4 linked regions of the Saccharomyces cerevisiae S288C genome follow. The gene in region 3 interacts genetically with the main gene of each other region. Each region holds a gene or a part of one and is shown on either strand. Other genes may lie near its edges. The genes, in order: STB5, PAC10, EAF5 and SSF1.

Region 1 (9,432 bases), on a different chromosome or scaffold from region 3:
AAGAAACGCGGTGCTCGAACAATACGGAAAAAGAAAGGTGTCCAAACAATGGCAATGATTTTCCAACCCAAAAAGGAAGTTCTTACCGATTCTACTCCGTTTTGCTTTACTAAGCACACGAGACGGAAAAAGCATGCCGCTTCCGTTCCGTGCAATATATTCATTCATTTGTAATGAGCATCCAATGGTTGGTAAGAACACTTAGTAGAGTCTGAAGATTGAACAAGAGATGCTAAGAGATCTTGAATTACGGAAGTTCATTACGGAAGTTCATTACGTAAGATATTTCCATGCATCCGTCGCAAGTTCCGCCTCTTGGAGACATTTTGTCATCGCTAGCGTAGGAAGTTGAAAACGCGTATTGTGCTAAGCCGCTAAATTGTAGTGATTTTGATGATAGTGTTCCGGCGAAGACCTGCCAGCTCTTATTTCTTACTCACTTGCGTTTGGCGTCTTGTAGCATTATCTATCTTATAGAGTTACTTACTTTCAGAAGCATCTTGCAACAAACGACATAATTGCAAAGATATATATATATAATCAATTAATTGTTCTCATAAATCGCTTTAAGAGTTCATGGCAATCAACTTTTTCATTTGTCATTAGGGTTGTGTTATAAAGTACTCATTTTTCATTAAAATACATATGTGAATAATCAATAGAAGAATCTTGTCGTGAAAAAAACTGTTTCATTAAACGGCAGCAACAAGCCGCTGCCGTATAGTATGACGACATGACAAAACTCGGTGAACATATGTCATACAAGTTTATCAACCCAAGAGACGTCAACATTGTTTTCGTCTAATATGTCTTGATATGAATCGCTGGCGCCAAATAACTCTCTTGTTAATTGGTCCATATTAGGAACTTTACCATGGCTTAAACTAATATCGAGAATTGTGTTGCTAATGTTTTGGAAAACATCCGCGCATCTCATAGCAAAAATCCATCTTTCACCGAAATGTCTTAGTATTTCCACACACTGTTGAATTTCGATTTTACTTTCAATGAGGTCGATGCTCCACTGGCAAAGACAGTATAAGATAGTGTTACAAATGGTTAATGTTCTGAAAAGGGTTATCCAGTTCAAGGGTAATAACCGCTTCTTGTACAGTGTATAAGTATGTTTCCAGGCTTGCAAGCAAAACTCTCCTAGAGTGGATAGTGAGTCAATGGGCGGTTTTGGCATCAATGCAGATGGTCTGTATAGTAAGATTTGCAACTGGGAGTATCTCATTGCTAGCCAAATCTCAGAACTATGGAAGGATATTACATTTGTAGTAGAATTGTTCTCCCTCTCCACCTGATCCATTTGAGATTTTTTCAGTTTCCTTCTTTCTGATTCTCGAGAATAAATTTCGTCTAGCTCCTTGCGTAATCCACTTATGATTTCCTGCTTTTGTTCGATGGTTAACTTTTGTCGCCCTGCACTTACAGAGTGGACTTGTTTATAAATGCGACCGCCCATTTTCCTTAATGATATCATCAACTTGGTCATCTCTAAATCGTCTCTTTCATCCACATACAACGCCCTCGGTAGTGGCACAGTGATGTCTTCGTCGTCGATCCCGGATATACGGCCCAACGAGGTGCATACTAGCCTTTCAAAGCAGTAAGCACTCCAAAACACTCTATATCTTGCCTCTGCTTCTAAAGCAGACATGCTCTTGAGTTTTTTGGCAGTTAACTCTCTATTTAAACCTAATCCTATGGTCAATCGCATGATGATACCACTAATTGTCCATGACGAGGAGCCCTTTGGCTCAAAAAACGAATAAATACCCAACAACAATAGGCATCGTACAGTTTCGATATCTTGTAAAATTATAACACTACGAAATTTTTTCATGGCCAAAAAAGCCAAATGTTCACTCAGACACTCTTCGTCCTGAGAAACCATACCAGCACGCTGTAAAGTTGTACAACCAATAGCCATGATCATGTATACTTTGAAAACAAAGCTGTCAGGGTAGTTTTTGTTGTCATATAACCTTTCGAAATCAGTAATTGTCGCGGCGTCATTTAGGAATGCTATTTTATCAATCATGGGAAATAGACGGTGATTGTGTTTGAAGTATGCGGCAATGAACCTGTCCAGTAAGGATCTATCAATTGACTTGAACGAGCCATCCTCTCTGACCCACGATGTTGTTCTACCACCTTTAAAGCAACAGGACATAGTTTCAAATTCGATCGAGGATGCATCAACCGGCACAGAATCGAATTTCCCATTGGGGGCTGAATTGTTTGCATATGGGGTAAGACTCAATTGCGGTGTGTTGGTACTGCCATTGTTATTATCGTGGTTAACATTACTGCCGTTATCCCCGTTGCTAGTATTGCGATTGTTGTTTTGTAGCGGTACGGCTTGGGCGTTCGCAGGCACATGACTGCTAATTAGTGGTGAAGGCGTGTTATATCCTCCGAATGATGAAGTTGTCGAACTTTGCTGCACGGAAGCTGGCAATGATCGGGAAGGAATCATGGAATTTTCATTAGAGGATAAGTGCGAAGAAGGATTAGAATTATCATTCAGCGATGTTAGCACCGAAATTAGCGATGAGACACCTTCGCTAGAATTTGGACTTGCCCCCATGACAAGATTTATTGGATCTGACGGTTTTAGCTGTTTCATCTTATGTGCATCATCGTTTTCGTAAGGCGAAAACCCGGGAGTTATAGCGCCATTTGCGGATAGCGGACTAGAAGAGTTTGGCATGCTCTTAGTGCTCAATGGGCTTTTTCCTACCTTCTTGTTCCTTTTCACTGGAACATATTCCCCTCGTAGCATAGCATCCGCTAACTCCTTCTTGGTACGTCTTGGGGCTCTACCTGGATATGAACAGTGTGCCCCATTTTTATCGCAGTTTGCACATGTCGGTATTTGTTTACCACACTTCTTCTTTAATTTTCTGCATCGTGCGCACGAATACAATTCAGTAGTACGTTGTGATCTCCCGCCTTGATGTGCAAAATTGGGACCATCCATGTCCTTCTTTTACACCTTTGTATTAATTTTTTAGCCCTGTACGCTCGGATATTATACCTCTTGTTACGTAGAGGAAATAACCGAACCTTGCCAAGAACTTCATTGTCGGTGTTTTATTTCGGAAGCTTATTTTTCTTTTAGTATTTCCGCTCGCCCTATTTTTCCCGTGGTATCGGCCTTGTCGTTATATTCCCTGCGGGTGATGGCGCCATGAATTAAATGCGACGCTATATAATAAGCTAGTAAAACAAGATATATTATGTGAAATTAAGTAGACAATCTGTCGGAGAATCTTCTTGGCATATATAGTATAATCGAGTGTAGTTTTCTTCCCGTTTTCCGTTGAGATTGAAGCCTTTTTTTTGTTTCAATTCCTGATGTTCATCAAAATAGAAGGTTGCAAGGAACGCATTAAATAATTCGTGAAATTTACAACTTTTGCATCAACAATGGAGTAAGCCACTCTTCATTCTTGAGTGTATTACCAGCATTAGTAGTGTTCTAAATGATTCAACAGTGCTAAGCGCTTCTTGTTTTTTTTTTGCACTTTTGCTTTTATTCGGGTTGAAATCGTCGTACACATTACCACAAGTACCATTGTTTCAATGATGAATCCGTTTATATATGCGTAGCGAGTAGATATAGAATCTGTTAACATAACTTCATGCCTTCTTGTCTTAGAACATTCCTATACGCGAGAACCGCGCCGCGAAGAAGAAGCCACAGAAACATAAACGTATCCTCAAGAAGTCTTCGAGCTTTAAGTCGTTTCTCTTAGTCTCGCTTTCACAGTGTTACTGCTATCATTTCTTCACTCCTGGAGGCAAACGGATATTCTATAGAAGAAATTGGATGAGGACAAAATGTGTTGTTGCAACTTTAACTACGTGAGAAAGGTGAAAGTAAGGTATTAGAAGAGAGGACACAAGAGTTATAATATCAGTAACTTTCGAAGTGGGTATCTCACATGGTTTTGATTGGGGTTCTCGATTGTTTTGCCCCCCTGGTTTATTCATTTTTCATAACAATGCCAAGAACCGTTTTTAGGTTTGATTTCTCAGTTCCCTTGCGTTTCTTTCTCTGGAAATTTCATGATAGAATTACAAATTTGGATATGCTTGTTAGTATATGATACAATGATGGAGGTGAAAATCAGATGGTCCTATAAATAGTTTTTCGAAATCCATCGATGGTAGGGAACAACAAGAACAAGCACCCTCCTGTTTTTTTAAAACCCTTTCTGAAAAACACACAATTGGCTGCCCTTTCTATGTAGTGAAGAATCCTTTTGGAATATGAGCGGTACTTTAGGTGAACCTTTCAGCAATTGAAAGGATGCTGATCTTCTACTTTGAGTATTGGTGGGATTTAGGATTGCTTGATGTGTTGTTTTTACTAAATGTTGGTGGATGTTGCATGCTGTCTGGCGCATGAATCATTTGGTATTGTGTTTGAGCCGGGGGATTCATACGAGGAGCTGGCAAAATATAAATGCCATCTAGGTTCTTGTTGGTTGTGGAGGTGGTTATGTTTACATTTGGAGGATTAATAGAATCTGTGACTGGTTTTGGTTGTCGGTAATCATGCACAAGTATATGGTGTACTGGGGGCATCATTGTTGGGGCGATAGGCGCCTTAGAGTGATTGCATTCAGGACCCGACCTCGAAGAGTATGGATCGATATTTTGGTATGGTATTGGGCTCAATGTATTGGAGGAGTATATCACTGAAGGCGACACGCCACGCCGTTCATAAGGTGCTGCAGTAGGTTGTTGCGGGAGAGTATTGTATGTATTGCAGAAAATCATAGGTTGTGAGACCGTACGTCTCAATCCAGGCTGATAGTTAGGATTGTAAACACCAATTGGTTGTGGCTGGTGCTGCATATACGGGAGAGGTAATTTATTCTGTTCATCTATGGGTAAGAGATATTGTTGCTGTTGTCGGTGCTGCTGTTGGTGCATTTCTCGAGGAGCGTTATTGAAGGTGGTTAAAGGTAACTGAACTGCGGTCCTAACTGGAATATTTCCAGGATGGTTGTTATAATTGCTCAAGAGATCACAATAGCTCGGAGAAGATGATAAAGACCTGCGCGTTTTATAATTATGAGCTTTGGTTCTGCCTCTCTCATTATTTTTAGACGGGTTAGATCTGCCATTTCCTACAGCAACTTTTTGTAAAGCATCTAATAGTTTCTGTGAAGGTCGAAATTTATGGAAGAAAGGATTTTCTGAAGGTCTCCTCAAACTTCCTTGATGAATATCCTTTTCCGTATAGTACGCAATAAGATGAAATGTTTCCAGCTTAGTGCTGTCGGTGGGATCCATATTGAATTTTAGAGAAAATGTTTTTTTCAGTAGTCCAGTATAAAAATACTTCCTATGAGCCCTCTCGAAGATATTATACTCAGGTACATTATGCAGCGGTAGATCGTGCGTGGAACCCAGCCTATTATACTCTCTATATACGAGAAATTTGCCTGAAATTCTTGAAGGAGACCAAGAAAAACCATCTGTCCATCTTTTGATGCCGGATTTCTCTTCGTTGAAAACAAAAATGTTTCCGGGGTTGACTAATTCAACCTTTTCTGCATCATATGGCCTCCGTTCGATGCATCTCAAATTTCCATTGAATACGCCCTGGAAAACAAGGGCTAGATCTTGCTCGTCGTCGATGTACCCATAACAGGTAGGGCTGATATCCATCATTCTTACGCTTACTCGTCGATCTCCTTTTCCTATCTATTGTTTGATTAATTATCTTAATTCGTGGTTCCCTTTTTTCTCGCTTTATTTGTTTGTTTTGTTGAAGAAGGGCTTACAAGAATGTACGTATTAAATAATAATTCATACAAATAAACAGGGAATGATACATAGTAGTTCTCCCGCAGCAGCTACGTATGAATTACCCGCCTACCCGGTACTATAAAGAAAGAATAAGTGGGCGTCGATTATGAAGATTTACTAACTGCAATTATCATTTTTTTGATTTTCCTCAGTCCCTTAGGTGCGTTTTTGTGTTAATGCCTATTTTTTTTTTCTAGGCTTTCTTCTTCACTTCCTCTTTCCTCTTGAATTTTGAGGAATATACGACCGAGAAAAAGACAGACTACTTAAAAAGTTGCCAGAGTGATTAAAGTTCCGGGAACAAGGCTAAAATACGTTTACAACATATTCTTCCTTTTTTTTCCACATAAAAAGGTTAATAGTCATAGTCATATGTTAGCGTGATTTCAACTTAAAATTAGAGATTATTAGATAATTTTTTTTTAAATGACGGCCAAGAAAGTGAAAGTCTAAAAGGAACGTTTATCGCTTAATTTCTCTCTGCCTCAGATTCATACGTTGTTAAGATCTTTAAAAGGATGGCCTTTGCAGGATACTGAGGTTTATGCTGGCGCGCCTGTGCGGATTTTCCAGATTCAAAAAGAAAGTTTTCTTTTTTTTTTACATGGGAACTGCGTAGCCGCGAAGCACTGCAGGCCTTTCAGAGCAATTTTTGGCGCTGCCTTTTAAAAACTTACATTAAGGTTCGCTATTGCCGAAACGGAAGAGGCGGAAATTTAAGTATTCGTTAATTTTACGGTGGCGGTACGGTATATTCTGCGTAAGCAATCTGCGGACGGCCGGATTATTAATCAATGTTTGAAAAAAAAAGATAGCAGAAGTGAAGATTTCTTATTTTAACAGCGATAAGGTATATACATGAGGGAAACGAAATATTAAGCGGCACAATATGTGTTTTTTCTATACAAGTACATTCCTTTTTACGTTAAGTATGTGGCGCCGGAAGGAAGTATGGTGCTTTTTTTTTCTTTAGGGCTTGTGCGTGTTCCGCTAGAAGCACATTTCTTTCTTCTTTGTCTGTATAACTACTGTTTCTTAGATCGATCAGTCTATCATCCCATACAACTGGTTCGAAATGACCGACCCTACGTGGAATGCTATTCAGTAGTTCCTGTAGTTCTGCATAGTATTCCAGGTCCTTTCCCTTTGGGAAGTTGTGCGTTCCGCAGGCATTAGAGTCGAAAGTTGTAGTTATCGGTAAGCTTTTACAGAATACTTCGACCATAATAGCCGCCTGTAGTTCCGACAACGGGAACGGGATGACCAACTGCGGGGTCAAGATAAAGGACAGCGTAGGATCTTTTACATAGATCATGTGCTCCCACAAATTGTGCAGATTGACAGACGAGTGCTTGTCGCCAGTAACACCCTCACCTAGCACTTCCAGTCTAACGGAGGGCTCTATAAATGGAAAGCTGTAATAATAGCCTGTGGCGAAAATAATGTAGTCTATATTCTGAAGTACTCTTCCATCAGATAAAGTAACTGAACGATTTTTCCAATCGGCACTGTCTATTGTTTGGACAGTCTCGATTAACTTGGCCTTCAGTTGATTGCTCGCAGGCTCTTTTATACTATTATATACTTTCTTTGCAACGGTAGTTAGTTGGTTGGCAATATCTTGGCCGGAACTGCCGTTTCCCACCACAATAACGACTTTTTCACGGGCAAACTCGCAGTTTTTGAAATCCTTAGAATGAAAGGCGCCCTTATTGTCGAACCATAGATCGAGACCTGCGATATTAGTTGGTAGTTTAGGGACACTGTAGTGACCAGACGCAACAATAACGAAGTCAAAATCCGATTTAGTAGTCCTTAGTTCGTCTTTAGATGTTATCTCCCATTGAGAGTTCTTCTTCTTTAAGTAGGTAACTTCGGTGCTGAAATGGATGCTGATAGCATCTTTGTTGGCAATGAACGTTTTGTAATAGGCTTTCAAGTATTCCCAAATGTTTCTTCGAGACGGATATAAAGGGACGTTTTCCTCGAAGGGAAAGCCGCTAAACTGCATTAACTTCTTTGATATATTGGTTTCCAAATGGTCATACATGACCCTCCCATCACTTTTTTGTTCTGGATAATGCCAGACACCGCCAATATCGTAATCCTTTACAAATATTTCTATTTCAAAATTTGGAAGACTTTGCGAGAAAACTCTTGCAGCTGCCAACCCTCCTGGCCCCCCACCTATGATTGCCAATCTTTTTTTGTCATTCACTGTCATGCCTAGTTACTTCTTGTTATTTCTCGCTTCCTGCTTGAATTTTCTGTATTATTGTATTTTCGACTTGTATAAAAACAGTGGCCCATTTAAATACAGTCCCAAATAACGACTGCGTTTTTGCAGTGGCATTTATCCTTGATATGAGGCTACAGGATTATCTTGCATAATGGCTTTTCTCGGCAAAAAGATGTCTGGCGCTTCCTATGTAAAGGTAATATCATGTGATTAAGAGTGAAAAGAGGAATTTAAAAGGTAGAAAAGGGTTCATGGAATCTTTCATAAAGCAGAACATTAATACTTGCCGCGTTGAAATGAGGTGCGATTTCGTGTTGTGGACGGGACATTAAATTCATCACTTATATAATTAAATATAACGTTATAGTAGATCGTCTCAAAACGGTATAACAACCCGCGCCCACCCTTAAATAGTATTACTTTTGTTCAAGATTAGCTCGAATGGTCGCTGGCAAACTGTTGAAGAACTAGATCGTTTCATGATTAACATCTTGGCGACGCAGAAGTTAATGATATAGAAATAGTGGACTATTTTGATTACTGAGGCTGTAGCCAATAAACGATAACATAAAGGGGGGGATATATAAACTTGTGTCAAAGACTAGTAACGTACGAGTGCTAAATATTATACATGTAATGTTAACGTAGTTTATCATTATACTCAGTGGGAACAAATAAAGGGAAGGGTATGAATGAGGAAGAAATACGAAAAATCCCGGATAAAAACAAAATAGATACAAATAGTATCAAATTTGTAATATTTGTCACCATCTTAATGGCAGGCGAGGGAGCTGTCATCTATCTCAGGACTATACGAAGTACACCAGCTGTAATTACCCCATATTGCCCCACACACGACAGCTAACATTAACCAACCATTATAAGTCATGAATACAAGCATGAGCATGAATGAGAATCCCACTTGCAAACCATATAGAATACTATTGGACACTTTGTCGGCTTGGTTGATCTTGGTCAGAGATCTATTTGGTAACAATACTCTCTGGGATAATTGTCTCTTATGGACACAGTACTTTAAGTACTCATAGAGGTAGGCTAGACCAAAAATTGCTAAACAACTTAAAATCAGTCCAGGCAGGGTCTTGATATGCCACCATTCAAAGACGACACACGTATTCTTGTATGACCACGAAAATAGCATATTCATCGAACAGGTATCATCTCCATCTCCCATATGCATATCACTGTGGTCGTGGCCCGCATTTCCTTCCATCTTGTGATTCATGCTATCCATCTTTTTTGAGTATCCAATTAACGAAGACGTTACCAGCTGATTGAAGGTTCTCAAAGTGACTGTACTCCATGTTTTCTTATCATCCATGTAGTTATTTTTCAAA
Region 2 (7,717 bases), on a different chromosome or scaffold from region 3:
ATATCAGCAAAGAGGAAAGGAAAACCTACTGAGGGACTTACATTTCTGCTGAAATATATAGTAATCTATCATGAGCAATGTGGCTGGGGAATTGAAGAATAGTGAGGGGAAAAAGAAAGGCAGGGGAAATAGGTATCATAACAAGAACAGAGGAAAAAGTAAGAATGAGACGGTAGATCCTAAAAAGAATGAGAATAAGGTTAATAATGCTACTAATGCTACCCACAACAATAGCAAAGGCAGAAGGAATAACAAGAAAAGGAACAGAGAGTATTATAACTATAAAAGAAAGGCTAGATTGGGTAAATCAACCGAGAATGAAGGATTTAAGCTTGTTATTAGATTGCTACCTCCAAATTTGACTGCAGATGAATTTTTTGCCATCTTACGAGATAATAATAACGATGATGGTGATAAGCAAGATATCCAGGGTAAACTCAAGTACAGTGACTGGTGTTTTTTTGAAGGTCATTATTCTAGTAAAGTATTCAAAAACTCGACATATTCTCGGTGCAATTTCTTGTTCGACAACTTATCAGACTTGGAAAAATGCGCAAATTTCATTAAAACTTGTAAATTCATTGATAATAAGGATAATATTACAATTCCAGATATGAAACTGTCGCCCTACGTAAAGAAATTCACTCAAACATCAAAAAAGGATGCCGCGCTAGTAGGAACAATTGAAGAAGACGAAATTTTTAAAACATTTATGAATTCAATGAAACAGCTGAATGAAAATGACGAGTACTCATTCCAAGATTTTAGCGTATTGAAATCTTTAGAAAAAGAATTCTCAAAAAGCATAGAGTTAGAAAATAAAATAGCAGAAAGAACAGAAAGGGTGTTAACAGAGCTGGTTGGAACTGGTGATAAGGTCAAGAATAAGAACAAAAAGAAGAAAAATAAAAACGCCAAAAAGAAATTCAAAGAAGAGGAAGCATCCGCTAAGATACCAAAGAAAAAACGGAACAGAGGCAAGAAGAAGCGTGAAAATCGTGAAAAAAGCACCATTTCTAAGACCAAGAACAGTAATGTGGTTATTATTGAGGAAGCGGGTAAAGAGGTTTTGAAACAAAGGAAGAAGAAAATGCTTTTGCAAGAGAAGTTAAAAATATCAAACTCCTCTCAGCCTCAGTCATCATCCGCTCAAACCCAGCCGTCGTTCCAACCTAAAGAAAACCTTTTCGTACCACGGGTAAAAATTTTGCATCGTGATGATACCAAGAAGTAGTAAAAGCTCATGGCTTCTTATATATTATATATGGAATACATTTATAATAAAATAATAAGAATTATATATTTTATGATTATATTATTACATAAAGTATTCCCCATTATAAATTCTGAGTTTCGTATTTAATGATTTTTCAATGAATATTTAAAATAATAAAATATATGAAATGTTCATATACAATGAAATTGTCATGAAGAAAGATGACTCCAAGTATCGTTTATAAATCGTCGAGAAAAAGATTATGAAGTTGGTTAACTTTTTAAAAAAGCTGCGCAATGAGCAGGTTACCATAGAACTAAAAAACGGTACCACCGTTTGGGGTACACTGCAGTCGGTATCACCACAAATGAATGCTATCTTAACTGACGTGAAGTTGACCCTACCACAACCCCGACTAAATAAATTGAACAGTAATGGTATTGCGATGGCTAGTCTGTACTTGACTGGAGGACAGCAACCTACTGCAAGTGACAACATAGCAAGTTTGCAATACATAAACATTAGAGGCAATACCATAAGACAGATAATCTTACCTGATTCCTTGAACCTGGATTCACTTTTGGTTGACCAAAAGCAACTTAATTCCCTAAGAAGATCGGGTCAAATTGCAAATGACCCCAGCAAAAAGAGAAGGCGCGATTTTGGTGCACCAGCGAATAAAAGGCCAAGAAGAGGTCTATGATTCGCTGCTGGTGTCGTTGTCATCTTCACTGTCACCATTACTTTCGCTTTCGCTAGAACTACTCTCTTCATCAGAGTTGTATATTTTATTCCATTGACATTTCCCTAATGGAATACCCCAGATATGGTCCTGTGTGGCCAACCAATCGACTAATTCATCAATGTGTATTATACAAAGTTCTTCGTTATAGGAGTGAGCAAAGCAGTCTACTTGTAGTGGGAAACTTTTTAGTTTGAAATAATGCTGTGAATATTTGTATAATTGTACTTTAAATAACTTTATCAAATCATTTTCATCATCATCGTTTTTGTTATTGCCATTCAAATAATAATACTGTAACCGCGCATAAACCAGAAGCAAAGCAATAATATATTTCGAGTCAAAACCGTTCTCATTTTTTACATTCAATAAGAAGTTCAACTGCTGGAAATTCGGTCTGATTTCGATTAACTTCATTAAGATGCATTTAAACTCAATGCCACCGAGAACCATCATGTGTAAATGACCATTTTGACCTTTTATGGTACCAAATGCGCCAATCATAACTTTCAAAAGCTCTACCATTGTATTGCCTCTCAAAGATTCGTTGCTTAGATTTACTTTATAGTACATTGAATTATGAATTTTATCTCTTGTCAACCGAGGAATAACAAGTGACACTGACTGGTTATTCAGTTGTTTTGGAGAGATGTTAGACTCCACTTGAAATTCATTGACAGCCATTGTAGTCCTTGTTCTTTACCCACGTTTTGTTTTTGTTCTTGCGTTTTTACTGCCACTGAAAATATAGCGTTGTAATGGCTTTAGATTTTACTTTTTTTTATCATAATTCTTGTTCAGAACGTTCGTTATTGATATCACAAAATTATTTACATGATTAGACATTAAAAACATAAAACAGTACACATAGGGTTTACTATTCTAAACTATAGTTATCTTCTCTCTTATTCTTCAGAACCAGCCTATACTTTGGTTTTTTTTCATTTTTTCTACTCTCTTGGCATACTTCGAACCCTTCTTGGAAGCAATCAACTCATCTACCTTCTTTAAAGCTTCTTCACGTTTTTTTAGCTTTTCGTTTAATTTCAATTCATGCTTATGACCCTTGGGCAAGAGAACACCTTTCATGAGGGTCTTTTTATTGTATTTCTCCTCGAAGAAAAGTTTCTTAGTGTTTTCGATCGGTGGTAAAAACTCTTCTACTCCATAACGCAGTGCCAACTTATATACGTCACTCATTCTTCTAAGTGAATATTTCGGATCATGAAATCGTTGTGTGACCGGATGTTTATTTGGCAGGAAAGGATTGGCATTAATGGCTTTAGTAGATGTAGACACTGGAGAATACTTGATTGAAGGGGGGTATCTTTGGAAAAAGGACTTCAATTTCAAAGGCAAACTATCAAAATACTGTTTGTATGACATGGAGTTTAGTTTAATGCACTAGTTGGTTTTCCTATTCTGTATAAATGGTTCACTTTATTTCGTATTTCACTTGCTCTTCCACTTTCACTTGTATCCCAGTCATTTTTTTTTTTTGTTTGAGAAAAAAGGAATATAAAAAGGCGCTACTATAAAGTACTTAATGATACTATAATTTAGAAGATTGACTTGATAAGACCGTTGTGTACCACCAGTCGATGGCTAGGGAGGATTCTAGACTCGAAACCATTTCCCACAATTGTTGAAGTAGCTTTTTGTTATGTGTATTGATTAGCTGGAGACAGATGTTCAACCAGCCGATCAAATGATGAGGATTGTTGATAAAGGCTATTTGTACAATCAGACATTCAATCAATACATTCTTCTTTTCTGGGTTTTTTACATTAACAATTCTGATATACGTCTCGTGCAAAGAGTCCCTAAGCAAATGCTTGTTATAATTATGTAGTGAGGGAAGTTGTGTGGATAGATGGCCGAATATAAGTAAAATTTGATTTGCGGACAATTTACCTGCAATAAATTGGTCCATCGACATCTTTAAATAGACGAGTATGCGGGATACTTGCCATTGTGCAACCTGTGAGGAATAAGAGGAGTCTATAGACAGTACAGTGATTGTCAATGTGTGTATAGATTCTTTGATTTCAATATCCAAGGTATTGCCCGTCTTCCCGCTAAAAAATACATCGAAATGCAGTAAAGGTTCGATAAACTCAGTAATAAACGGCAAACGAATGCGACACCCATAGTAATTAGTAATTTTGTTTAGAAAATTGATGTAAAACACTAATTTATTTGGATCTTGTTTGGTGTTGTTTCTTTTCATTAGTTCCAAAACTGTAGTGATTTTAGACAAGTCATCCATGACAATGAAATACGTTACTAAATTATCGTAAACATAATCGTAACTGGGAAAACCGACTGTCCCGATTTTTTGAGTCAATACGTGGACGTGGAAAAGGCTTAAACAGATCATAGAATAAAAAGTGTCTTTATGGTTAGGCAGTATTGTCATATTCATGGCGGATAATTCTTTTAACGCGAGGATTATCAGGATAAATACATTTTGGAACTTGAAATCTAGTTGTTGTTCTTTCAACGAAGCCACAGTATCGGACAAGTATCGACATATCCTTTCTAGTTTGCGTACTGAATTTACCAAAGTTGCCTCATTTGACCTCGTGATTGAACTGGTCAAGCAACTGGCCAAATGATTCAAGTTGGTTGATAAGACTGAATCAGTCGAAAAAATTTCCATCGGCTGCACAATGCCGTGTACATACTCTTCCAAAAGGTCCAATAGTTTCTCTGTGACCAAATTCCATGATACGTCAACTCCATGCAAAAGGGCGCTTCGGTTTGACTGATTAAAAAGTAAAGCTAATGCTATCAGAAGGCAATGCTGAATCGATAAATTAGCCCTGACAATGGCAGTATTCCATAGCTGCGCCCATATTGGTGAAAACAGTTGTAATTTCCAGTTTCTGTAATAAAGCGCAGTTTTGTTGCTGGATTCATCAATAAAATAGGCGTTGTTCAATTGTTTGAAGCTCGGGTATGTGACTAGTACACCATCCAAAACCATCAACTGTGAAAGGTTCCACGTGGCTCGGTGAGATTCGAAAACAGCATTCCAAACCAAGTAAAACTTCGAAATTGGGAGCGTGGGCTCAGAAACTTCCAGTTTCCAAAGGAAAACATCTTTGACGATGTGCAAAAGGCGTAGTGGTGGTAATTGGACAATGAACTGCGATCGGAAAAGTGCTCCGACCAAGCGATACAAAGTGTCGGGGGATTTGACTCTTGGGACGTAGTATACCACATTGGCCGCGATTTCGTCTAGCAGGCGTTGATCATACTGGATCCTCGTTTCGGAAGAGAGTGCAGTGATCAGATATTCGACGTCATGATCAAACATAATGTCCTAATGCCCTCTGTAAGTGCGGTTTTGCGCGCATACATGCGTATTCATATTTCCCTTTTGCATTTGTCTTCTTCGGTTTTCCTGGTAGAATTTCCCTTAATGGGAGAGTAGTAACAATGCAAAAAATGAAGAAAATTGAGAAAAAACAAAAAAGAAAAAAAAAAAAAAAAAAAAAAAGAGAGCTATGTAGGTTGATTGTGTTGTTCTATGTAGTGCCCTTTATTTTTCTTTGGATTTAAATTTACAGACACATTATATCTTGAGGTTTTTAGTCCCTTCTTGAGCCTGCTTCAAGTCTTGCCTTCTCTGAACGTCCCAGTTATACAATCGCGCGCAATTGACCTCCATTGTCGTGATATTTTCCCTCAAAAACTCTACGTCCTCGGTGGACACCGTTAAAGACTGTTCGGAATCCGCGAGTTTCTTCTTTAACAACTCTATGGCCTCGTCGATGGGATATTCCAGCATCACGTCTGCGCCAAGCCACAACCCAACTTTCAAATCCGCCCGATCTTCCGGTATATCAACCTGAGCCTTTGTGTAGAGCGTGTCGTTCAATTGGTAGTGCAACAGGATAGGTTCATCGCTCTCATCGCCCTCGTCGCTGTGATTGCGCAGACTTTGGCATATTTTTAATGTGTTTTCCAAGTCCGGGATTCTAGTCTTCAGCTGCTTTATCGTAGCCAATTTAGATTCCTGCATAAATTTGTACTTAGAAAGCCGTTCTTGGAACTTATTGAAGCACAATTCGAAGTCGCTTGGGTCCTTAATTATTTCGTTGACATTTTCGATGAATGGAGCCTGCGGTATGCCTCTGGCATTCTTTTCCGTGGAGTTGAACAGTGTGTCCATAATAACCGTAGTATCTGTTATATATGTGCGTACAGTTTTCTGCAGTAAATGTTGTCTACAATTTATAGCCTCTACAATAGTGTTAAACTAGATTTTTTCACTTTCTTTTCTGACCAGTTCTGCAAAATGATCGAAGAAACGAAACAAATCATGTGTTACCCGTCCTGCACAATCATGAGTGCCTGCGGTTTCCATATTGGAACGGCACCTTCCTTTTTTGGAAGTCACGTTCCTGCAGCGCGTTTCTTTTTTTTTTTTTTTTTTTTTTTTATTTTTCGGTTTTTTTCGCACGTTTCTTTTTGGTGAGCGAGAAAGCTCGTTGCCTCCTAATATAAAGGATGAGATGAGATGAGCAGTGCCGCAAATGAGGGATGTGTTTATTTGTTCATTGTCGTTTTGCGATTATCTTCGTTTTCATGTGTTAACTCATTCATTCATTCATTTACTCGTTCACGCACACGCAGCAGTTATTCCCTCGACGAGCGTTCACTTGTATCATATAGCATAGTTTACGTAGCAATGAATAAAAGCAGCAAGGCATTTCAGGTACCGAATAAGGTCATCACCAAGGAGGATATTACTCCCTTGTCCAGATCGCACACAAAGAAAGCGGACACTCGCGGGACAGCAGATGGTAAAAACACCACAGCCAGTGCAGTCGAGGCCACCCCAATCATCATCACCACTGCTCGTTCGATAGATACTGCCGGTTCACTATCTGAGAACGCCACCGAGGACGATGGCACCCAAAACGGAGATTTACACGATGATGACGATGATGACGACCTCGAAAGTACGCTCGGCTATAGTTCTGAGCCTGATCCTCTCTTCTCCCCATGCCACCAGCCTTCCTTCACCAACAGCACATTTAGTTACAGTGCGGACAATGAACTACCCATGGAGGAAAATCACAACAAGAATAATTTCCACGATAGCAGCGAGAGCAGTATCTTTCTACCACAGATACAGCAATCATTCTTTTTCGGCGACAATAGCAAGAGTGACGCAAATAATACGGACTTCTGGAAGGAAGTAAATGGCACTGCAGAAGAGGCCATTTGCCTGCAGGAGACAAGACAAAGAAAATGCTCCCTCGTGGCTCTGCATCCAGGCGACGCCACCACGAGTTCGAACGACACATTGGGAATAGAGGACTTCATCAAAGATGATATCAACAGTGCTGAAGCCATGGAACCCTCCCCATCTTCATCACCATCTTCCTCCCTTCTTGATAATTTGGACTACAATATCAAGTTATTGTGCTACAGAGACAATGAGGGCAAGTTCACCTTGAAAAAAAGGAAGTTTTTGAAGAATTCCCTGCGCTCATCCTCTGCAATTTCTAAAAAGTGGAAACCCTTGTCTAAAAGAGATAAGCTGTTGAAGAGGGCCATAAGAAGAAAGAGTGGTGTTTGCCAGACGTTATCAGCTGGTTTTGGTATCGGTGAATTCATGTTGTAATAACAGTACTATTAACAGTACAATAAATAGATTCTTTTTATACAGTGTTAGGGTAACTTGTTTTTGTAGGATTTGAAAAATATGTCATTATAAGATCTATATCTTTTACTATTTGGAC
Region 3 (8,251 bases):
GTTGATTATGACACCCGGTGTGGGTTTAGATGACAAGGGAGACGCATTGGGTCAACAGTATAGAACCGTGGATGATGTGGTCTCTACAGGATCTGACATTATTATTGTTGGAAGAGGACTATTTGCAAAGGGAAGGGATGCTAAGGTAGAGGGTGAACGTTACAGAAAAGCAGGCTGGGAAGCATATTTGAGAAGATGCGGCCAGCAAAACTAAAAAACTGTATTATAAGTAAATGCATGTATACTAAACTCACAAATTAGAGCTTCAATTTAATTATATCAGTTATTACCCGGGAATCTCGGTCGTAATGATTTCTATAATGACGAAAAAAAAAAAATTGGAAAGAAAAAGCTTCATGGCCTTTATAAAAAGGAACTATCCAATACCTCGCCAGAACCAAGTAACAGTATTTTACGGGGCACAAATCAAGAACAATAAGACAGGACTGTAAAGATGGACGCATTGAACTCCAAAGAACAACAAGAGTTCCAAAAAGTAGTGGAACAAAAGCAAATGAAGGATTTCATGCGTTTGTACTCTAATCTGGTAGAAAGATGTTTCACAGACTGTGTCAATGACTTCACAACATCAAAGCTAACCAATAAGGAACAAACATGCATCATGAAGTGCTCAGAAAAGTTCTTGAAGCATAGCGAACGTGTAGGGCAGCGTTTCCAAGAACAAAACGCTGCCTTGGGACAAGGCTTGGGCCGATAAGGTGTACTGGCGTATATATATCTAATTATGTATCTCTGGTGTAGCCCATTTTTAGCATGTAAATATAAAGAGAAACCATATCTAATCTAACCAAATCCAAACAAAATTCAATAGTTACTATCGCTTTTTTCTTTCTGTATCGCAAATAAGTGAAAATTAAAAAAGAAAGATTAAATTGGAAGTTGGATATGGGCTGGAACAGCAGCAGTAATCGGTATCGGGTTCGCCACTAATGACGTCCTACGATTGCACTCAACAGACCTTGACGCTCACGCCGTAGCGGGCGACAAGTCAAACGGAACAACCGTTGCCGTTCCCATCGGAGTCCGACCTAGGCCGAACTCCGTGAATTTCTGATAACAACGGTCGGTAAAGACTGGTTCCCCAGTATATTTCTTCTCTCAGGAGCAGGGGCCAATGCCAAAAGCGACATTAACCCGGAGGACAAGGCTCCACTGTGTTCCACCGAATTTCCCACCTGATAATATCTGATAACCCGCCCATAGGTGGGGATCCTTCTGTAAACAGGTTTCTTAATCGTAGGAATTACCACTGTTCCACTGCCAATCGCAGCTCCCAGAGTTTCGTTCCCAGCCGCGAGCACCACAGCGTACCATGTGCGCCACGAGGCCTCAAACGTAAAACAATCGAAACGAAAAGAAACAGACTATAGGGGAGTATAGAGACAGCCGGCCAATAAGAAGAGGAAAAAGAAATACTAGCGTTTATCAATGTGGGTCGTTAACATATCCTGTTGACAATGATTACAGGTTAAAAGGTAGCGTAAGTGAATATTAACTATGGATATTCTTATACTTAGATAAGAGACATATAAAACACACGATGATTGATTGATTTTTATGACCAATATATGTAATTCGTAATTCAGATAGTTTTTATACTTTTAATGTGTGCCGAACCATATTACTAGTATATGTAACTACCATGTTATGTTCAATTGGCAGATCTTTAACTCGGCTTTAGTTATCCAAGTTACTTGCAATATTTCCTTCTGCGAGAGTACATTTGCCCTTAAACGTATACGAGGTATTCATTAATGTGTGTTGTAAGTATTTAGATTGACATCTATAAGAGAGATGAACATATATATATATATATATATATATATACATGCATATTTACTATAAACGCGGTTTATTCTGCCAGGCAAAGGCAATTTGCTTTTGTTCGCCAGGCTCAATGATAACGTTGATGACACTTGTTTCTCTTTTAGTCCGAGAAAGCTGCACGGCTTGTTGGAAGCATCTGCTCAGTTCGCTTATTGTGTTGACAAAAAAATCATTGGCACCCAGTCCTTTGCCTACGAGATCGTAACGGCAGTTCTTGCTTAGTGCCGTTGGAGGTAAATCACCCTCTATATCCTTTTCTCCATGGTAAATACCGCTATTGTTCATCACAACGATGACCAATGCCAGCTGACACCTTACTGCCGTTTCAATTTCCATGGCAGAGAATCCAAATGCGGAATCACCCTGAATCAGCACCACATCGAGTTCCGGATGAGATGCCTTGCATGCAAGAGCATATCCGAGCCCAATCCCCATAGTCGCGTTGGTCCCTGCGTCTAAACGGCGCCTTGGAGCGTCTGTAGGGAATGAAATACGCGCAATATCCATAGTATTTGCTCCCTCCGTCACAAGTATTGTCCTGTAATCATCGATAAGAGGCCTCAATGTTCCATAAACCTGGTTGTAATTCAATTGTGCCCCTCTAGTCTTCTCTTTCCTCAATAGACGAGTTTGATTCAGTTGAATTTTCTCTCGTATTTCTTGCTTAACACCACTATACTTCCAGCAGGAATCTTGGCGAGTCAATTCCTCAACTAAAGCGGTTACGCTCAAGCCTATATCTCCCCATATGGAAAGGTCAGCACCAGGTGAGACATTGTTATCCCCCAAGGTTTCGGGATTGGAATCGAACTGGATGAATATGGATTCTGAGTTCCATTTGGGTGAAGTACCAAAATGCAATATCCAGTTTAATCTTGCCCCGAGAACAAGAACAATATCCGCTATTTTCAATGCTTGAGATCTTGCAGATGAAACGTTCAGTGGAGAAGAGTCTGGGACAATTCCCTTAGCCATTGGGGTGGGTAAAAATGGTAGATTGAACGTATTTACTAGTCTGCGGATTTCGTGTGAGTTTTTTACCGCACCCTTTCCAATAACAATCAGAATATTTTTATTTTTATGTTGCAAAATAAGCTGTACGACTTTTTTGATCTTCGACGGATCAGGGCCACATATGTTTGGAGTTAATATCATCGGTAATTCATTTCCTGTACGGTCGTTTCCTTCTAAGGGTTTTTCATACTCAATAAAATCTGCAGGGACGTCTATGTAAGAAACCCCTGCAGTGCCTTGTATACAGTAATTCAAAGCCTTCTGAGTAATCATGTCAATATTGTCAGGGGTTAACTTTCCGGTAAACTTCAAAAATGGGGACAAAAGACTAACTTGATCCAACTCTTGAAACCCGCCTTTATGTATATCACTTTGAGAAGAACTCCCTGCAATTACTAGAAGAGGCCACCTATTACTCATTGAGTTGTATATACCAGCCAGTGCGTGGATTAAACCGGGGCCCCCGACAATAAGTAACACGCCGGGCTTATCACTAATATAACCATAAGCAGAGGCTGCATATGAGGCAGCCTGTTCGTTCCTGCATGGAATGAATTTGATACCGTTGGCAACCATCGTATCCGCTAGTTGGACAATAGGGATGCCCACAATTCCAAAGACTGTGTCGATGCCATATTTTTGTAAAAGTTGAGCGAAGTGTTGGGTAGCGGTCGTGGTCATATTGATGGATGGTTGTGACGGTTTGAATGTAGAGAGTATATTCTTCTTATCACATAAAAGTAACCAATGCCTTTTTTTTCCTTTATATATAATGTGGTTATATACCAACCTTTTGTAAATTTCCAACTTTTTTCTTTAGTTAGCTTTGCTTGAACTTCGGGCCGAAGGGCTCGGATAAGAGAAACAATAATTTTGTTTTCATAAAACATCGATGGCTTGACTACTTCTTTTATCCTGTTCCTGAGATTCTTTCATCTTGGCGATCTTACACCTTAGTTCCATAATAGGGTCTCTTACAAAATCCCTCATTGAAACGACTTGAGAACACGCTGCTTGCGGGCAATCTCTTGTCGTGTATCCTTGTAAATAGTTTTGAATGCCGTCTCTATCGAAGACGTGATTACATTTTCTTGATATCAATGGTGCTTCGTAAGGTTTGCAGGTGATAGGACAAGTCAATTCAATTTTACCACCTTCTATTTGTAGATCGTCTTCGTCTGCGGGGTTTTGCAGATCCGGTATTACACAAGTTGGATCATTCCATATGTACGGCAACACTTTTAGTATCTTGAGTGTATCTGTGTTATTAACCATGGTTGCAGGCTCTGGTGTGGGCATATTTAGATATAATTCAGATAATTTGGGAGCGGTGAGTTCTCCGGTACGATATTTATCCCAGGTAGAAAGGTCGATTTGCGGACAGGCATCTGAGGATTGTTTGAAATTTTTTTTTAAATCTTTAATATGTTCGTCAAATGAGTTGGATTCCGATTCGTATGTCGAGAGGAGTTTGTAGGTGCTAGTAATATCTGCGACCTGCTCTTCAATGCCGATGGTGGAAGGAGATGTAGAATCCACTAATTGATTTATGGTCTCATCAATTTGTTTGTAGCATTGTTGATATATATTTGATAAGTCTCGGGCATGTAAATTATGGAAGTACTTACCTGATTTTGGGTGTAGAGGAACTGACTTGGGTATAGGATTATCGTTCAAGGCCATTTTTAAAGTTATTCTTTTTTTATATAGTCTTGCCTTGGTTTCTTTAACTGACACGATTATTTTAGCAAGTTTTTTTCTACACAGGAAAAGAGGAAGAAAATAACCAGAGAAGCACTGGTAAAAAGATACTTCTGCGTGCCGGAGTAACCAGAATCAAAGGAACGCATAGATGGATAAAGAGGTAAGTGAATTGGTAGTGTTGCAGCTAATACACACTTTAATTTCCAACAAGAATGAAGAACTGGTTAGGAACGGGGGAGGAATCAACATGATTGGGAATAATCTTCGAATATCGCTAGTCAAGTTGACTAACGAAATACAAAACAATTTGCTAATCAACGAGCTGACAAATTTAAGAAGGCAAAGCAACGTGGCAAATGGAAACAGGAAACTGGGCATCAACGATATCCTGACCATAGTTAAGAATTTATTCCCAGAGTACAGAACAACACTAAACGATGGACAACTTAGTCTACACGGTTTGGAAATGCATGATATCGAGAAGCTCCTTGACGAAAAGTACGATCGATTCAAGAAAACGCAGGTCGAACAAATAAGGATGATGGAGGATGAGATATTGAAGAACGGTATAAAGACCGGTGCATCGCAACTGCAACCACATGCAAATGCTGGCAAAAGTGGATCTGCTGGTACCAGTGCTACTATAACTACGACTACGCCACACATGGCGCATTCAATGGACCCAAAAAGAGAAAAACTATTGAAATTATACAGAGATACCGTTCTGAATAAATTGGAAAGTAAAACTGGGAATTTTCAGAAGCTATTCAAGAGTCCCGATGGTAGCATTATCAAGAATGAGATAAATTACGAAGACATAAAGAACGAAACGCCCGGCAGCGTTCATGAACTGCAGCTGATTCTTCAAAAGAGCATAACGGACGGTGTAATGCGAAAGGTCATTGGTACGGACGACTGGAAATTGGCTAGACAAGTGCAGTTTGAATTGGATGATACGGTGCAGTTCATGAGAAGAGCACTAGAGTAAGGAGATAGTAGGCGACACTTCGAAAATCTAAAGTCTTGTAACATTACTATTATATACTATTTTATTAAAAAAATACACACACAATTCTTTAACAGAACAATATATAACAAATGAAGCGACATGTTTCTCAAAAAAAAACATAGTAGGTAGGTAAAAATGGGAAAGAACGGGACAAACAAAACGAAGAGCAGGGTGTATTTGCCCACACACGGCAAACAACATCCATTCACGCCCGCATGCCCAAAACTTTTTTGCGATAAAACGCCCACGCAAATCACATCGTTCCAACAGAGGAATCGAACAGCACAGATACAAAGTAGGAATATAGCACACACACAGGAAAAATTAATTAATTATTAGAAATTAAAAGGGTTGGGGAGAAAAGAGGTCTAATTTATTCATTAATATTCAGTAATTGAAAAAAAAAAAAAAAAGAGGATAACTAAGAGAAAACAACATCAAGCTCGTTTGGCTTGCTAGTGATCGCTTAGAATCTTTGTAAACCTCTTTGTCTAGCTTGCCATTTTCTGTAGATAATGGTAGAAATGATGGCGATACAAGCCAAACCGACTAGAATAAAAACTAAGATAACACCACCTGGTAACGTGCTCATCAACATCTTTGTATAATTGTTATTGTACTATTTATTGTTTTGTATGTATACGATGGAGAAAAAGAGAAAGGAAGAAGGAAGGACGAAAGAGAAAAAACTGGAAGGGAAGAAGAATTGATTTTATATTAACCAAGAGGAAGGAAAGGAAATTGAGTTGTGATTACGGAATTTTAGTTTTTTTCACTGTTTATTTAAACCAAAAGGTGTGGAAGAGAAAGAGAGAAAAAAGTTCTGTAATTCGTTAAGGAAATTAAGTATCCGCGCCGGAAAAATAGCGAGAGGTTTTTTTTGATGCAAAAGCTAGGGAGGGCTGCGGACGGATTTCGAAAACAGCTCAACAGCGTGGTGACGAGTTGCGTCAGGGTGTTGGCCAGTGCTACCGCGGGCGGCGCTGCACAGGGAGTAAGCAGAGCGGGCTAGAGCGCGGTTTTGGAGAGGGCCCGGGCTGCTGTGGTCGTAGGATTGCGGTAATTTAGTGGCTCGCCCTCGTTTGTCGTGCTTTTTCCGAGTTCCGAAACTCTTTCCCGAGCTGTTAATGTGCTAAAAGTGGTAAATCGTATATGATGATATACGTATATGATGATAATTTCCTGCGCGCTACTTGCGTGCATTCGTCACTCATAACAAAAAGAACTACACAATACGTAAACAACGTGCGAAAATATCTATATACAAGGGGAGAAAACAAAAGTGAAAGTGCATTACAGCCCATCACAGATCATTATAATACAATATGCCGACCAAGTCAACTTTTAGTCGCTGGAAGAAGGCGGACCTAATTGACCTGGCCAACAAGCTGGAAATTGACGGCTTCCCCAATTATGCCAAGAAGAGTGATATGATCGATTACCTCGAATCGCACTTGAATCATCTTGAGAAACCTGTGGATTTTAAAGACGACTACCCGGAACTAAGGTCCTTTTATGAGTCGATGACAGTGGACCAGTCAAAGGATGAACGGAACGAATACGGATCCGGATCTGGAAACGGGTCTGGGTCTGGATCCTGTGACACCGCCACAAATGATTCCGATCTGGAGAAAGCGTACATCAAGGAGGATGATGATGAGAAACCGCAATCAGGCGATGAAACAAGCGCGACAAAGCCGCTTTCCAGCAGGAATGCAAATTCAAACGCCAAAACGAACTTCAATTTGTTGGATTTTAGCACAGATAACGACTCGTCCACCTCTGCGTTTACTAAGTTCAAGTTTAACTTTCAGGAATACCTCTCCGATATTAGATACCAAACGCAGAAATTGAATGAAAATGTTCAGGACTATCTTTCCACTATTTCCGCCGTCGATACGATTTTTTCCTTGTTGGAATTCTCTTTTCTGGTGAGAAACATATTAGCCGCCGGGCAGCCAACTTCTTCTTCTTCGCTCGCATCGTCGCTGGAAGCCGCCGTTGCCGCCCATAATAAATATCAATACACGCTCGATTTCTGTTTACCAATACTCACGTGGCTGCTCTTCTTTAGGGGTATTCCAACGTTAGTGTCATACTACATCAACTTCATCCGCTACGACCTGAACATCGAGTTGGACCCGATGACTTTCAATCTCACGAAATTCTTGATTTCTTTGGCAATCTTCAAAACTTGTAATAATAAAAACATAGATTTCCATTCTTTTCGATGTGTTAACCAACTATGGACACAACTCTGTACAGTGAACCGTTCCCTTGGTATGGTACCTCTAGTATTCTCCATGGTTAGTTGTCTCCTCACTCTATACGTATTATAGTATATTTTCTTACATACGTATACACACGCGTACGTAAGCCGCGAAGTGTGTATTTACTACTCTGTATTATTGTAATAAACTCTTCTCCTTCTTTGTCTTTTCTTCTCCCAAAAGCGCACTTGCCTTGATCAGCATATTGTATACTTCGATGTTTTCAAATGGAGGTACGACTTCATTGTTGAACATCGGACCCATTCCAATGAATATAGATGCCATATCACTACAGTTGTTAAAGTTGTATCCATGTGTGCCCATAATGCCGATAGGCACATCACCCATTTCTTTTACAATGGCGTAGTATTCATCTGCGAGAATCCAGATATCGCCGACCCTATCG
Region 4 (7,260 bases), on a different chromosome or scaffold from region 3:
ATCACATTCGACGAAGAAAAAGAGCTAAAATATGAATACTTCGTAAATAGTTACTTATTTTGCACATCTTTTACCGCTCCCATTACGCGGAATGAGTTATGAATGGCTCGAGAAACAAATAGGAAACGAATAAGAAATGATAGGCAATTTTATGTGATATTGATAGATGTATATATGAACATATAGATAAATATTTCTAAGTTAAATTGAACTTTTGGGCGTTAAAAGGTAAACCATGCTTACAAAGCCTACCTTTCTCCCATGTCCATATTCTCTCTTGTCATCATTCTTCCTCTTCTTCCCTTACCTCTGGCAATCTTCTCCTTGTTTCTTCTGTTCATTTCCATTACAACTTCCCCATTAGCCTTATCGACGGAATCTCTTAGGGTCAATATAATGTTCTTGTCCACACTTTCCTTCGGTAGTTTTTTACCTAAAACTTCTTCAATTCTTAAGATCAATTCCAGATCGTATTGTGATACTAGTGAGATAGATTTTCCTGATCTACCAGCTCTTGCGGTTCTTCCCACACGATGAATGTAGGACTTGGAATCCACAGGAATATCGTAGTTTACAACTATGTCCACTGATGGAATATCCAACCCTCTCGCAGCGACATCTGTAGCCACGAGAATAGACCTCTTACCTGCCTTGAAAAGATCCAAAGATCCCATTCTCTGGTTTTGATTCAAATCACCATGTAGCGCAGTGGCACTAAACTCGAGCAAATTACATAATCCTGACAACCTTTCCGCGTTGGCCTTGGTTCTTGTAAAAATGATCATCGTCTTTCCAATAAATTCATTTAATAAATAAATTAGGTATGTGTTCTTAAGACCACCTGGAACGACCATCAGTGTTTGCACTAATGTATCTACGGTTTGGTATTTGTTTGACACGGCACATTTCACAGGATTTGTCAAACTTGCTCTTTGTAATTTATCAATTTTGGAAGTCATAGTAGCGGAAAAAAGATAAGTGGTTCTTTCTTGGGTTGGGATGATCTTTAAAATTCTATCAAGAACAGGTCCAAATTCCATGTCTAATAATCTATCAGCTTCATCCATAACCAAGAATTTCAGTTTCCTCAGTGAAAACCCTTTGGTATTCTCTAAATGGTCCATTAATCTACCAGGTGTAGCAATGATAATATGTGGCTTTCTCATCAGGTCTCTGGCCTGGTCCATCATATTCATACCACCCACAATACATGTCGATCTCACGCCCATTAAGGATCCTAATGAGTCAAATGTTTCTTTGATCTGTTGTGCTAATTCTCTTGTTGGAGCTAGAATGCACGCATAGTATGGTTCCTGATCATGCCATAACCGATTCAAAATGGGAATAGCAAATGCAGCAGTTTTACCAGAACCTGTTTGCGCAAGTCCAATTATATCGTGACCTTCTAACGCGGGAGGAATTGCCTTAGATTGAATGGGAGTGGGTTTGGAATAATTTAAGTTCTTACAAGCTTGAATTAATTCGGGGACCAGATTCAGTTCGCTAAAGGATTCAAAAGATTCATCTTCATTAGTATTTTCATTTTGGGTTGATACTGTGGATTTGCTTTTTGATTTCAAAACCTTTTTCTTTTCAGCAGTAGCATCTTCTTCAGAATCGGACTCTGAACCACCTTCCTTTTCTGCTTCTATAAGCTTCTTTTGATTTTCCAAAGCTTTTGCTCTAATCTTTTCTGCTAAAGAAGTTAATTCATCGTTAGCCTTCTTTTCCTTTCTCTTAACAATTTTGGACATTTTTATAGCTGATTCAGTGAAGTACTTAACAGAATCTTGGTATATATTGCTTCTAAGATATGTCACAATTCTGTGTATACCATGTACAATTGCTAAATGCTCATTGATTAATTTTAAATTTTTCATTTTTATCGCCTTAGACGAAATTGAAATTTTTCACTGAAAAAAAAAAAAAAAAAAAAGTAGACGAAGAAGCTCATCTCATCGCGATATTAGTTCGATATCTGGGTTTGAGTGAGTAGTATGTTTAATAATAAAAGAGTATAATCCAGATATAGCAGACAATAAAATTTCAAGATGGCCAAGAGAAGACAAAAGAAAAGAACACATGCACAGCTTACACCTGAGCAGGAACAAGGTATACCTAAGTCAATGGTAATCAGAGTGGGTCAAACTTCTTTGGCCAACCATTCTCTGAACCAATTAGTAAAGGACTTCCGCCAAATCATGCAACCACATACGGCTATAAAATTGAAAGAGCGCAAGTCCAATAAACTGAAGGATTTCGTTGTTATGTGTGGCCCATTAGGTGTTACGCATCTTTTTATGTTCACTCAATCTGAAAAAACAGGAAATGTCTCCCTAAAGATAGCTAGAACTCCGCAAGGTCCTACTGTTACTTTTCAAGTATTGGACTATTCTCTGGGTAGAGATATCAAAAAATTTTTGAAGAGACCTAAATCGTTGAATAATGATGATGTATTAAATCCTCCATTGCTAGTGCTAAACGGGTTTTCCACATCCAAAAGATCTGGTGAAGACGACCAGGATGTAAACGTGGAGAAGGTCATTGTTTCTATGTTTCAGAATATTTTCCCACCTCTGAATCCTGCGAGAACTTCTTTGAATTCTATCAAACGTGTATTTATGATCAATAAAGACAGGGAAACAGGGGAAATTTCTATGCGCCACTATTTTATTGACATTCGAGAAGTAGAGATCTCTAGAAACCTAAAAAGGCTTTATAAAGCCAAAAATAATCTAAGTAAAACAGTGCCGAATTTGCATCGAAAAGAAGATATTTCTTCTTTGATATTAGATCACGACTTAGGCGCCTATACATCAGAATCTGAAATTGAAGATGACGCTATCGTGAGAGTAGTTGATAATCAGGACGTGAAGGCAAAGCATTCTCAAAGTTTGAAGTCCCAAAGAACACCGGTCGAAAAGAAGGATAATAAAGAGCGTGAAAAAGAAACAGAAGAAGAAGATGTGGAAATGGAGGAACCTAAGCCTTCAGAAAACTTGCAACCAACCCCACGTAAGAAAGCTATCAAACTAACTGAATTAGGACCAAGATTAACTTTAAAACTGGTCAAGATAGAAGAAGGTATTTGTTCAGGTAAAGTGTTACATCATGAATTTGTTCAAAAATCAAGCGAAGAAATCAAAGCTTTAGAAAAGAGACACGCTGCAAAAATGAGGCTGAAGGAACAAAGAAAGAAGGAACAAGAAGAAAACATTGCTAAAAAGAAGGCTGTTAAAGACGCTAAAAAGCAACGTAAATTGGAAAGAAGAAAAGCTAGAGCAGCAGAAGGAGGTGAAGGTCAAGGAAAAGATGATGCGATGAGCGATGATGAGTCTTCATCAAGTGACAGCGAACATTATGGTAGCGTACCAGAGGATCTAGATAGTGACTTATTTAGTGAGGTCGAATAAATTGTTCTCCGGTACCAAGAAAATTTTAGTTAAGCCTGGCTATCCACCAACGCACGTATACTTCTTCACTTTAGATAAATTGCATACTTGATACATATAAACTCTTTGTCTTTTAAATCATAGCCCAAAGGAAACGTAGATCTCAGAAGGCATGTGAAAAAAAATTCGATCTTACCTTTTTTACGCCATTTTAAGCTACTGTTTCGATACATGAGCGTGGCTGGTACATTGAAGGTGGGCAATCGTCCACTTATCTAAAGACAGCTTATCAGCATGAAATCCAAAACGTGGATTTTCAGGGATGTCTTATCTAGTCACCGAACCAAAGCGTTTGATAGTTTACTTTGTAGGAGACTCCCTGTATCAAAGGCAACGAAGCATCTTCAACTGGGAGAACATTTCCTGTTCTTCCCACCATCATTCGAAAAATTGGATAGAGATGGTTATTTTAACTATCAAAATCCTGCAAGTTTGCTAGGAAACCCTGATTTACGCTACCGTAGAAGGATTTGGGGACAAGGAGAGCTTGTTCAGTATTTACCAGTCACCTTAGACCAGGAGTATACATGCCACGAATCAATCAAATACGTAAAAAAAATACGAGATGAACATGTTGTCTGTATTGAAAGAACCCTTTTACAAGAAAGGCCCGAAAATGTGTCGAGTCCAATGGACATTTGCTTATTCGAGAGAAGGGTATTAATGTACACCAATTCACCCGCAAACAAGACTGCAGTCAAGATGCCCGTAGGAGAGGAGAACTATAAGATCTTAAAAAATTTTACTGTTACTGATATGGATATTGTAGCTTATGGTCAGATGTCTTTGAATCCGCACCGAATTCATTGGGACAAAGAGTACAGTCGCTATGTTGAAGGCTACGACGATATTATCATGCAAGGACCCTTCTCGGTCCAATTACTACAGAAATGCATCCAACCTTTTCTCGAACAACCAATCAGACAGTTGCGATACCGCAATTTGAATTATATATATCCAAACACTACTTTGAGCATATGTCAGTCTTTAAGCTCTTCGAGCGGAATGTACACATTTCAAATTAGGGACCTCCAGAAAGCCAACTTAGTCTACATGAAAGCTGATGTTTTCTGTTGACTACCAGTAATTGTCTCTCTGCAGATAATCACTACCTGTGTGTTTCTTGTCTCTTGAAATAATACTAGTAGCTGCTGAACAGTGGAAGGTCACGAACGAGATTACCATAATATCTCGCCATCACCAGGTTGACGGTAAACGCATTACGGGAAGAACTGAAAAAAAGGTGGGAAAAAAAAATAAAAAGTAAAGTGAAAAATTAAATGTAATGTATATTTCCATTTTGACGCAAAGTACTTCCCTCTATCAGTTTTGTATCTAACTGCAGAGTAAAGTCGTGTTTTGCTTAGTTAACTTATATACAAGTCAAAGCAAAAAAGATGTCCGATATCAACGAAAAACTCCCAGAGTTACTACAAGACGCTGTCTTGAAAGCATCTGTTCCTATTCCAGATGACTTCGTTAAGGTTCAAGGTATTGATTACTCAAAGCCTGAAGCCACTAATATGAGAGCAACTGATTTAATTGAAGCTATGAAGACCATGGGTTTCCAAGCTAGTTCTGTTGGTACTGCCTGTGAGATTATTGATAGTATGAGATCATGGAGAGGTAAGCATATTGACGAATTGGATGACCATGAAAAGAAAGGTTGCTTCGATGAGGAAGGGTACCAAAAGACTACTATCTTCATGGGTTATACTTCTAACTTGATCAGTTCCGGTGTACGTGAAACTTTACGTTATTTGGTGCAACACAAAATGGTTGATGCTGTCGTTACTTCTGCTGGTGGTGTGGAAGAAGATTTGATCAAATGTCTTGCTCCAACTTACTTGGGTGAATTTGCTTTGAAAGGTAAATCTTTGCGTGACCAAGGTATGAATCGTATTGGTAACTTGCTTGTTCCAAATGATAACTACTGTAAGTTTGAAGAATGGATTGTCCCAATTTTGGATAAGATGTTGGAAGAACAAGATGAATACGTAAAGAAACATGGCGCTGACTGTTTAGAGGCTAACCAAGACGTGGATTCACCAATCTGGACCCCATCTAAGATGATAGATCGTTTTGGTAAGGAAATCAACGACGAATCCTCCGTATTGTACTGGGCCCACAAGAATAAAATTCCAATCTTTTGTCCATCTTTGACTGATGGTTCAATCGGTGACATGTTGTTTTTCCATACTTTTAAAGCATCTCCAAAACAACTAAGAGTTGACATTGTAGGAGATATCCGCAAAATCAATTCAATGTCCATGGCCGCTTACAGAGCCGGTATGATCATCTTGGGTGGTGGTTTGATCAAGCACCACATTGCCAATGCTTGTTTGATGAGAAATGGTGCTGATTATGCCGTTTACATTAACACTGGTCAAGAATACGATGGTTCTGATGCAGGTGCAAGACCTGACGAAGCTGTGTCTTGGGGTAAGATCAAGGCTGAAGCCAAATCCGTCAAACTTTTTGCTGATGTCACCACTGTTCTTCCATTGATTGTTGCTGCTACCTTTGCCAGTGGTAAACCAATCAAAAAAGTTAAGAATTGATGAGAGAATTTTGAGATGAAAAAAAAAAAAATGAATCTGTACTATTTCTTTTTTTAGTGCAAAAGTTTTGTTTTAATATAGAGATAAATAAAAAAATGAACATATTACTATAATATCAACAAAATATGATGTAATGTCTGCAATAAAGATGAGTCAATTGCATTTCTATACGTACTAATCGTGTGTACATAGCCATGACATTATGTAAGTTTATACACATAAATTGCGTTGGAGTCTGCTGTGTAGTTTATAAATGTGTAAACAGCGGCTTTTGTATTCCTATTAGTTGCCGTTACCTCTCATTTTTTCGGCGGTAAGAATGTCACTGCCTATGGATTCCATTACATTTTTCTCAATCAGTTCACCTACGTTTGAATAAACCATACTAGCTTCGTAAGCACTTACTATACGTTGTTGAGTAATGCCTATTTCACAGAACGCTAACGCTTTGATCACGTTCGCATACCGGCAAATTGCTTGTCGTATGTTGTTCGATATGGAAGGATCGTTTTCATCCGAATATATTTGCCATGAAGACTCTTCTTCCAGTCTTGTTATGGAGGGATTTAATGATACCGCACCAGTGGGTCCAGTTGATTTAATTGAGGAACTGTTATTTGCAGACGGCGTATCCCTCGCTAAGTCCATCTGAGATGTTTTCCTTAACCATATGTAACCATTGACTCCGAGAACTACGGTTATGTTGCCGGGCAAATTATGAGTATGGTTCTTGGCTCTCACTATTAATGAACTCGGGACTTGGCAAAACATCCCGTTTCTTAACTTCCCGTACTTTAGAGACCTTGTATGTAAAGAGGCACTACCATCTTGAAATAATGATTGAACTTCTGCATTCAGGAGGTCACCTTCCTTAAGGAAGCTTCTCATTTGTAGTTCATCACTTTCAGATTTTCTTCTTAGAATACCACCCGGTAAATTCACAGAGCCCAACATAAGTACTGCATGTTGCTTACCGCCAATGTCTACTTTCCATCTCTTGTTACCCACTTCAGCAATTCTCCCTACGACGTGATCACCAGTTTCTGGGGCATAACGACCTTTCAATGGAATTACCGATAGCAGCCTATTGACACGGGATACAGTACCAGCAACAGAGGAATACGTCATATTATCAAGAAAATACGTACCGTGACCTCTCATCCAGATAGGGTCATCAGTGACCAGCTCACCTGGCGTCACAATTTGAGAATCAGACTCACTTTTAGAAGCTGAGTTAACATCGTGCA

Evidence for each region.
Region 1: mutations in EAF5 (region 3) and STB5 together harm fitness more than expected from each alone (negative genetic interaction), as found in Saccharomyces cerevisiae (4 studies listed by BioGRID).
Region 2: mutations in EAF5 (region 3) and PAC10 together harm fitness more than expected from each alone (negative genetic interaction), as found in Saccharomyces cerevisiae (3 studies listed by BioGRID, with this or other methods).
Region 4: mutations in EAF5 (region 3) and SSF1 together harm fitness more than expected from each alone (negative genetic interaction), as found in Saccharomyces cerevisiae (4 studies listed by BioGRID).

The regions. Positions count from the first base shown.
Region 1 is NC_001140.6:452,856-462,287, reverse strand, and holds STB5 (Stb5p), read right to left. Parts: upstream 2,990-9,432; coding exon 758-2,989; downstream 1-757. Other genes in the region: ROF1 (Rof1p), read right to left, coding at 4,336-5,697; FMO1 (N,N-dimethylaniline monooxygenase), read right to left, coding at 6,761-8,059; YHR175W-A (uncharacterized protein), read right to left, coding at 8,581-8,730; CTR2 (low-affinity Cu transporter), read right to left, coding at 8,847-9,416. UniProt on the Saccharomyces cerevisiae protein: Binds to SIN3.
Region 2 is NC_001139.9:634,234-641,950, forward strand, and holds PAC10 (tubulin-binding prefolding complex subunit PAC10), read right to left. Parts: upstream 6,139-7,717; coding exon 5,539-6,138; downstream 1-5,538. Other genes in the region: UPF3 (Upf3p), read left to right, coding at 71-1,234; mRNA splicing protein SMD1, read left to right, coding at 1,479-1,919; U4/U6-U5 snRNP complex subunit PRP38, read right to left, coding at 1,914-2,642; mitochondrial 54S ribosomal protein mL59 MRPL25, read right to left, coding at 2,871-3,344; PEX8 (Pex8p), read right to left, coding at 3,511-5,280; YGR079W (uncharacterized protein), read left to right, coding at 6,487-7,599. UniProt on the Saccharomyces cerevisiae protein: Binds specifically to cytosolic chaperonin (c-CPN) and transfers target proteins to it. Binds to nascent polypeptide chain and promotes folding in an environment in which there are many competing pathways for nonnative proteins.
Region 3 is NC_001137.3:116,757-125,007, forward strand, and holds EAF5 (Eaf5p), read left to right. Parts: upstream 1-4,714; coding exon 4,715-5,554; downstream 5,555-8,251. Other genes in the region: URA3 (orotidine-5'-phosphate decarboxylase), read left to right, coding at 1-214; protein transporter TIM9, read left to right, coding at 455-718; PXP1 (putative indolepyruvate decarboxylase family protein), read right to left, coding at 1,861-3,543; SUMO ligase MMS21, read right to left, coding at 3,742-4,545; PMP2 (proteolipid ATPase), read right to left, coding at 6,042-6,173; GTT3 (Gtt3p), read left to right, coding at 6,901-7,914; nucleotide diphosphatase/phosphodiesterase NPP2, read right to left, coding at 7,981-8,251. UniProt on the Saccharomyces cerevisiae protein: Component of the NuA4 histone acetyltransferase complex which is involved in transcriptional activation of selected genes principally by acetylation of nucleosomal histone H4 and H2A. The NuA4 complex is also involved in DNA repair.
Region 4 is NC_001140.6:227,284-234,543, forward strand, and holds SSF1 (rRNA-binding ribosome biosynthesis protein), read left to right. Parts: upstream 1-2,051; coding exon 2,052-3,413; downstream 3,414-7,260. Other genes in the region: RNA-dependent ATPase RRP3, read right to left, coding at 249-1,754; hydroxyacyl-thioester dehydratase HTD2, read left to right, coding at 3,687-4,529; DYS1 (deoxyhypusine synthase), read left to right, coding at 4,850-6,013; exosome non-catalytic core subunit RRP4, read right to left, coding at 6,296-7,260. UniProt on the Saccharomyces cerevisiae protein: Required for biogenesis of the 60S ribosomal subunit.